Linked DNA regions of Macaca mulatta. The protein of the gene in region 1 purifies or fractionates together with the protein of each later gene. This does not show direct contact. Links are inferred from orthologs where the notes say so. Each region holds a gene or a part of one and is shown in the gene's direction. Other genes may lie near its edges.

What was found.
Region 2: the proteins of ZC3HC1 (region 1) and CUL1 purify together in Homo sapiens (affinity purification with western blotting; 3 studies listed by BioGRID, with this or other methods). This does not show direct contact. The link is inferred for Macaca mulatta from reciprocal best matches to the Homo sapiens genes ZC3HC1 and CUL1.

Annotation. Positions count from the first base shown.
Region 1 is NC_133408.1:169,702,129-169,705,936, reverse strand, and holds part of ZC3HC1 (zinc finger C3HC-type protein 1), read left to right. Parts: coding exon 1-93; intron 94-1,352; coding exon 1,353-1,596; intron 1,597-2,727; coding exon 2,728-2,940; intron 2,941-3,808. UniProt on the Homo sapiens protein: Required for proper positioning of a substantial amount of TPR at the nuclear basket (NB) through interaction with TPR.
Region 2 is NC_133408.1:188,517,325-188,521,629, forward strand, and holds the start of CUL1 (cullin-1), read left to right. Parts: upstream 1-1,218; 5' UTR 1,219-1,468; intron 1,469-1,594; exon of another isoform or gene 1,595-1,738; intron 1,739-4,305. UniProt on the Homo sapiens protein: Core component of multiple cullin-RING-based SCF (SKP1-CUL1-F-box protein) E3 ubiquitin-protein ligase complexes, which mediate the ubiquitination of proteins involved in cell cycle progression, signal transduction and transcription.

The DNA of each region.
Region 1 (3,808 bases):
AACTGATGAGAGAAAAACTACAATCAAATTAGGCTCAGACATCCAAGTCCACGTCACTGCCTGTATTCTCTCTGTGTGTGGCTGGGCATGTAGGTGAGTCAGCGAATTTTGCCCGGAGACATGAGCCATGACAACAGCATTACACTTGTATATGTCAGTCACTTATCGCATTTAGGAATCACATGGTGTTTCCCGTGAGAAAAAGAGACAAAGAGAAACTGGGTGGGGGATGGCAGCGTGGAGAATGGATAATAAGAATTAGTAACAAAACCAGAACTGGAATTCAGGAATTCTTGGTGTTCACAACTGAACTTTGTTTATTGTACGGTTGCTTCTCGACTGGGAATTTGTGTTCTATAAACAGTGAACCTCCTTTCTAAAAATAGAAAGAAAATAAGCTCTTTTCTATTTTTAAGAAGGAAAAATAGAAAGGAAGTTCTTTTCTATTTTTAGAAAGGAAGAAAAATCCACTTAATTGATGAAAACTACCATAGGAAACACCAGCTGGAGTCTTCTAGGCCCCCGTGTTGCTATTTCCATTCCAGCTGTTCAATTTGGCATAGACTCCCACTATCCTTAATCTACCAAAGAGAGCATATTTAAAGTCAGATTGGTTCTGACAATAAATAAATCTTGATTTATTTTAAATATGCTCTCTTTGGTAGATTAAGGAATGTTTTTCGTCTAAAGGGAAAAGACTTTAAGAGGGACAAGAGAGGCGGGTACAGTGGCTCACCTGGCCAACATGGTGAAACCGCATCTCTACTAAAAATACAAAAATTAGCCGGGCATGGTGGCAGGTGCCTGTAATCCCAGCTACTCAGGAGGCTGGGGCAGGAGAATCACTTGAACCTGGGAGGCAGAGGTTGCAGTGAGCCGAGATCGTACCATTGCACTCCAGCCTGGGCAACGAGTAAACTCTATCTCAAAAAAAAAAAAAAAGAAGGACAGGAGAAACCTTTTCGTTGTTGTTGGTGGTCAGGCTGGTCTCAAACTCCCGACCTCAGGACCGCAGGTGATCCACCCGTCGTGGCCTCCCAAAGTGCTGGGATTGCAGGCATGAGCCACCACACCTGGCCGAGAAACTTTTAAAACATGCCTGCAAAACAGTCTTACCATAAAGAGCACAATAAGAACCCTAGGTCTTTCTATGGGAAATACATGAGAGATGATGAAGTATGAAGCTGGGGTCCTGAGATTGGAGCACAGAGGCTCTGACAGGCCATGGTTCCCTGTCCACTGGACTGTTCCAGAAATTGGATGAGATAAAGCATACTTGCGAGACATTACACTTAGTCATTTGGAAATGTTACACTTTGAGAAAATTCTCTTTTTTTTTCATTCCTATCTAGTTCCTCTTTGGAACCCATGCAGCTTTCCCTGATAACATGTTCGCAGTGTATGAGGAAGGTGGGGCTCTGGGGCTTCCAGCAGATTGAATCATCCATGACTGACCTGGATGCATCCTTTGGCCTGACCAGCTCCCCGATCCCAGGCCTTGAGGGGCGACCAGAGCGCTTACCTCTGGTGCCTGAATCTCCTCGGAGGATGATGACGCGGAGCCAGGATGCCACTTTCTCCCCAGGCTCAGAGCAGGTATGCACTTAGCTTGTTTGGGGTGGACTTTTAAACAACATTCTTGGCAAAAGTGTTATTGGTAGGCCGGGCGCGGTGGCTCAAGCCTGTAATCCCAGCACTTTGGGAGGCCGAGACGGGCGGATCACAAGGTCAGGAGATCGAGACCATCCTGGCTAACACAGTGAAACCCCATCTCTACTAAAAAAATACAGAAAACTAGGCGGGCGCCTGTAGTCCCAGCTACTCCGGAGGCTGAGGCAGGAGAATGGCGTGAACCCGGGAGGCGGAGCTTGCAGTGAGCTGAGATCCGGCCACCGCACTCCAGCCCAGGCGACAGAGCAAGTCTCCGTCTCAAAAAAAAAAAAAAAAAAAAGGCCGGGCGCGGTGGCTCAAGCCTGTAATCCCAGCACTTTGGGAGGCCGAGACGGGCGGAGCACGAGGTCAGGAGATCGAGACCATCCTGGCTAACACGGTGAAACACCGTCTCTACTAAAAAATACAAAAAAAAAAAAACTAGCTGGGCGAGGTGGCGGGCGCCTGTGGTCCCAGCTACTCGGGAGGCTGAGGCAGGAGAATGGCGTAAACCCGGGAGGCGGAGCTTGCAGTGAGCCAAGATCCGGCCACTGCACTCCAGCCCCGGCGACAGAGCAAGACTCCGTCTCAAAAAAAAAAAAAAAAAAAAGTATTATTGGTAGAAAGTTGGAAATTAATTTAGGTGGATAGGCTTCACTTCCCACTACATTGGTCACAATATCACGTAGTGTTTCTGTTCACTAATGGAGAAGCTAAATTCAGCCAGACCCGGTGGCTCACGCCTGTAATCCCAGCACTTTGGGAGACTGAGGCAGGTGGATCACTTGAGGTCAGGAGTTCGAGACCAGCCTAGCCAACATGGTGAAACCCCGTCTCTACCAAAAATGCAAAAATTAGCCAGGGGTGGTGGTGGGCGCCTGTAATCCCAGCTACTTGGGAGGCTGAGGCAGGAGAATCACTTGAACTTGGGAGGCAGAGGTTGTAGTGAGCCAAGATCGCCTCACTGCACTCCAGCCTTGGAAACAAAGCGAGATTCTGTCTCAAAAAGAAGAAGATTAAAGAAAGAAGTATCATTAATATCATTTGTGTAATTCCATTATCTCCCCTTTCCTTCAGGCTGAAAAGAGCCCTGGTCCCATTGTCTCTCGAACTCGGAGCTGGGACTCTTCCAGTCCTGTTGACCGTCCTGAGCCAGAGGCTGCTAGCCCCACCACCAGAACTCGCCCAGTGACCCGAAGCATGGGAACAGGAGACACCCCTGGCCTGGAGGTACCATCTAGCCCTCTGCGGAAAGCCAAACGAGCTCGCCTCTGCTCCTCCAGCAGTTCGGTGAGTCCACCGCGCATGTAGCAGTGGCTGAGCAGAAACAGCATGTTGGGCTTTCCCTGGGCAGCACGGAGAAGCAGGCATGAGCCCTTCCATGGTCCAGTGCAAAAAGTAGACCCTGTGAATAAGTTTAAAGTTGGGTGACCAAAGGGGAAAAATGTCAGTCATGTTTTTTGCTCCTTTTTGCTCCTTTGGGGTGGATTCTGGAGAAATAATAGATATTTCAGGCAAATGGAACAGCAGTGTGATACAGGGACAAACCTGATATGGCAGTGGTCCCCAACCTTTTTGGCACCAGGGACCGTTTTCGTGGAAGACCATTTTTCCACGGACCAGGGTTGGGAGGATGGTTTTGGGATGATGTAAGCACATTACATGTATTGTGTACTTTATTTCTATTATTATTATATTGTAATGTATAATGAAATAATTATACAACTCACCATAATATAGAATCACTGGGAACCCTGAGCTTGTTTTCCTGCAACTAGATGATCTCATCTGGGGGTGATGGGAAACAGTGACAGACATCAGGTGTCAGACTCTCATAAGGAGCCCGAAGTCTAGATCCCCCACATGTGCACTTCACAGTAGGGTTCCTGTTCCTGTGAGAATCTAATGCCACTGCTGATCTGACAGGAGGCAGAGCCCAGGTGGTAATGCAAACAATGGGGAGCGGCTGTAAATTCAGATGAAGCTTTGCTTGCCTGCCTGCTGCTCACCTCCTGCTGTGCGACCTGGTACCTATCCATGGCCTGGGGGTTGGGTATCCCTTATCCCTTGTGATAAAGTGTAGCTTGTTTAACACAAAAGGAGTGAAAAAAAATAAAGAAAATGCGAGGAAAATGTATAGGCAAAGTTTAAAGGAGAG
Region 2 (4,305 bases), about 19 Mb from region 1:
TACCATGTGCTCACAAAAAAAAAAAAAGCGTTAAATACATCTAAGTTTTGACGAGGTTATTCAAAAGTGTAGGATGTAAACCAAGAATTGTTCACACCCCAACATCCCGCACAAATTAAGGGATTACATACCTGAGTGACAAGTACATACAAATGCATTACTTCTAGAGAGACTGAGATGTGGATAAAAGACCACATTTCAATAGAGGGGATCACATACACCAGTGGGATGTTTCTTCAGAGACAAACCCACGTTACGCAGGAAACAGTGTGGACTCTGGCGACGGCCCTCTGCTCTGGCTGAGGATTTCTGTCCCAGAGTGGTACAGGAATCTGTGTAGTGTTTTCGTTTGGAGAAAACAGGAAGTTACACTCATTACATCTTTTGCCCAGATGATAGAGTTCGAAATCCCCCCGGGGTTGTTCATGGAATGAGCCGCTCTGTTATGCTGTGAGCCGTGGTATTAATAAGCCACCCCTCACTAGATGTGGGGGTTCCACAACGCTTCCTCCACCCGTCACCACAGCAGCGGATAGGCTTTAGGTTGAATATTCCAAATAGCCAATTATGACAGTTAATTTCAAATGAGATGACTTCGAACTACACGTGAAAACAATACTACTTTATATCACGACTCATGCCATCCGTGTATGTAATCAAAGCCTTCTAAGTCTTGATTTGTCCTTACAAAGACGAAGGATAGAGTGAATGTCAAAATTTGCCAAACAGGAGTTAGTGAAAGTCTGAAAGGGAAAGCCTAGTTAGGTTTAATCTTATAAGTGATTTTTAAAAAGAGACACGCAGATAAGCTCGAGCTTTCTGGAGCCGATTCCTAAGGCCTTGCAGGTGTTAAGGGGATCGAGAATTGGCTGCAGGTTCCTCGGAAGTCTGCGCCGATTTGGAGGGCCACCTGGCCACCTCTGACTTTCTGATCTAGGGTGCATCCCCCAGTCCCGGTCGACAAAGGTGGGGAGTCAGGTTCGAGGCCAGCTGGGGGGGGCGGTGTGCGCACAGGGGAGGAGTGGGGGGACTGGGACCCCCTCTCCTTCGGGGTGCTTCAGGCCGTTTCTCCAGAGGCTGGTGGTGTCCCCGACCCAAGCAGCTCAGCCCCGCTCGCGAGGTCCGAAGTGGCGGGAAGGGGTCCTCCGCGGCGGCCCCAAGGCGAGGGAGGCTGTAAAACCTGGCGGAGAATCCGGTGCCCCGGGTCGGGGATGGCTCGGGTGTCCGGGGCAGGGGCCGCGGGCTCGCAGGTAGAAGCTCCCCACGCTAGCGGGGGCCTCGGCCGCGGAAGGGGCGCCCCCGGGGCCGCCGGCATCGGCGGGCGGGCGGGAGCTTTCCGGGCCCCTCCCGCGCCTCGGGCTGGCGGGGCGATGGCGACGACGGTTTCTCGGCTCCCCCGCCCCGGACGCCGATGGCGGTGCGTTCCGGCCCTCCCCCAACAGCTTCTCCCCCGCGGTCGCCGGAGCCGGTGAGGCCGAAGAGGGCGGGGAGCCGCGGAGGGAAGGCGAGAGGGCGGAGGTTGCGTGGTGCAGGCGGCGGCGGCGGCGGGAGGAGGAGGGCCGGGCGGGCAGGGGAGGAGGAGGAGGCGGGCGCCGTGTCGCACGCAGCTCCAGGCGGGGCAGCCCCGGTGGCTGAGGGACGCAGCCAGACCTTGGCGGGACGGGGCTTTCGCCGGGGCCCAGGCCCAGCGACCAGGCGGAGGCGTCGCGGGAGCCTTTGGGGCACCACAGAGATGCGGGTGAGTGTCGGCAGCCGCCGGGGCCGAGAGGAGGTGGCGGCGGCGGCGCAGGCCCGGCCCCGAGCCGCGGTGTCGCAGTGACTTGGGCCGCGGCGGCCAAGCCCAGGCGCCTGGCGAGGCCTGAGCAGCCGAAACGCGGCCGGGCGGAATGGCGGCCGGGCCGGGGGACTCGTGGGCGGAGGACGCCGAGGGCGGCAGGAGAGCGAGCGGGGCCGGGCCCTGAGTCACCCCGGACGGGCCGGGGCGGCCAGGCCTGGACTACGCACTGGGAAAAAGCCCGATTCATCGCGCCTGGAGGCGGCGGCCTGGTGGCGCCGGCACCTTTCCCCGCCGCGACCGGGCTGGGCCCTCGGAAGCTGGGCCGACGTGTGGCACGGGGCAGCTCGGACGTCCGCGCCTCGCCTCGCCTCGTGAGGCGACCTCCGCGGGACGCCGGGACCCGTGCCCTTGCCCCCTCGCGCCCACGCTTCTCCCCAGCGCTGCTTTCCGGCCGACGCGTGCTCCCCTGTGAGCCCTGGGCTCGCGCGCAGGAGCAGCCGCCGAGCCGGGCTCTCTCGCTTTCCGGTTCCCTGCCCGCGGCTCTCGGGTTCCCTGCCTGCATTGTTGCGAACGTGCAGGGCGCTATTATTGGGTAACAGTCGCCCTTTTGCCCCGTTCTCCTGGGGCTATGGGCCGGGGCATGCGCGCAGGGATGCGAGCCCGGCGGCCGAACCGGACAGAGCCCCCCGGCGCCCGCCTAGCGCTCGCGAGTCGGGCCGGGCCCTGCGCCGCGGCGTCGGCGCGCCCCCGGCCGCAACGGGAGCGCGCGCCCTGACCCTGAGGGTAAACGTGTGCCCGCCAGGCTGCTGGGACTTGGGGTCCTCAGACTCGGGGGTCGTGCGCTTTTTTCCCCCCAAGATCTGAAAGACCTCTGTTTCTGCCGCCCGTGCAATATTGTGTAGAGCAGACATAAGATAATTAAGAGAGAGAGGAATGCTTGTAGACATTCCTTGAAATGAATCCCCAAAGTTAAGGTTTTCTCTCTGCCTGGCTTTGCCAAAAAGAGGATTCTCTTTTCCGATTGGGTCACTCTTGGTTGCTTCTGGTTCGTAGTAGGGGTTAGTGGTAAGTGCGCAAATACTGAATTGCAGTCTACTTAAATATTGATTTGCCCAGTGTAATTGCTCTTTCTTGTAGTAGCATTAAAATCGTCAAAAGTTCTGAGTGGAGTAAACGATCACACTTTTTGGAATGCACTTAACGAAGCGGCAGAAGAGGAACTAGATTCCTTTTTTACTTCAAGCCTTGAGCTTCTAGGACCTAAGCATATCTTAACGCCTCGCAGAAGTGTGTGCAGTTTTAAGTTGAACACTTCATTTCATGGTGCACCCGAAAATGTACCCGATTTTCTGAAATCTTGTAGAGTGTATTATGTAGTTAAATATGTAATGATGTTTAAAATGTAAAACCAGTTATTGTATTTGGAAAAAATATTTGGAGGTGAGATTTTTCTTTGTTTAAAGAAGGTTTTTGGATATTGAAAAATGTTTTACTTGAAGGTTCTATTTGTTGTTTTCCATGGTGAGTCGAAATAGTTGCGCTGCATTTCAAATTCCAAAGCATGCAAACGTAAGACTGGCTCGCTTTAACTCTATTATGCCCATTTTTGGAGGTTTCAGGAGAGTGTTCCTTAAGCTTGAGAGGGATGGCTGAATTGCTTTCTAAATACGTTAAACTTCTTTTCTCATTGACTTATCTTTTAAAAACGGTTTTGTCAAAAAAACAAACTAACTTTAGATATGCTAGGTTTTTCACCAATTTATGAAAGCCTCCCTCCCTGAGAGCCACATGCTCAGGTCCTTATAGGCAGCCCCACCCCCCACTCCTAATGTGTGTACCACATCAGAAGACAGACAAGCATGCCTGAGCTGATTCTGCATGGTTTCCTTAGATATTGCAGTTCATTAGACTCTTGCCACTTACTGAAAGTTATCTTCTGGCTGTAATTAACTACAGTACAGCCTTATTTCCCATACATTTCCGATTGTGAATTCCTCCAGCGCAGGGGATATTCCTTATTTGTTTTTGCGTCCCGAGAGTAACAGAACTTGGTTACGGTGGTGCCTCAGTTGCTTTTTTTTTTTTTTTTTTTTGAATGAATTAGTTTTCTGGAATAATTCTAACTTACACTTAACGTTTGAAAACATGCCCTGATTTTTGGCTACAGAAAACACAGTCCTTGCACTTAAGGGGGTTAAGAATGCAAGCTTTATTGTACGCTTCTCGAGTAAAATTGATCGTCTCTCTCATCCCTCCTTTTCTACCCCCCCAATCCACTTCCCTTCCCCCCGCAACACCCCAGTACCTAGTACAGGGCCCTAACAGAAATCTGCCCGGGTTTTCTATACCTATGGAAGTCCAGGAAAGTGCCAAGAAAACACGTTGTGAAACTTTAACGTTTTTTCTCCTTAAAACTAGTTTTAAGGTGTGGATTTTTAAAATTTTTGTGTTTGGTGCTTCTTTGGAAACTCGATCAGGTTTTTCCCCCCAGGCTGAGTATCCAGCCTTGCCTTTGAAATGAAGCAGTT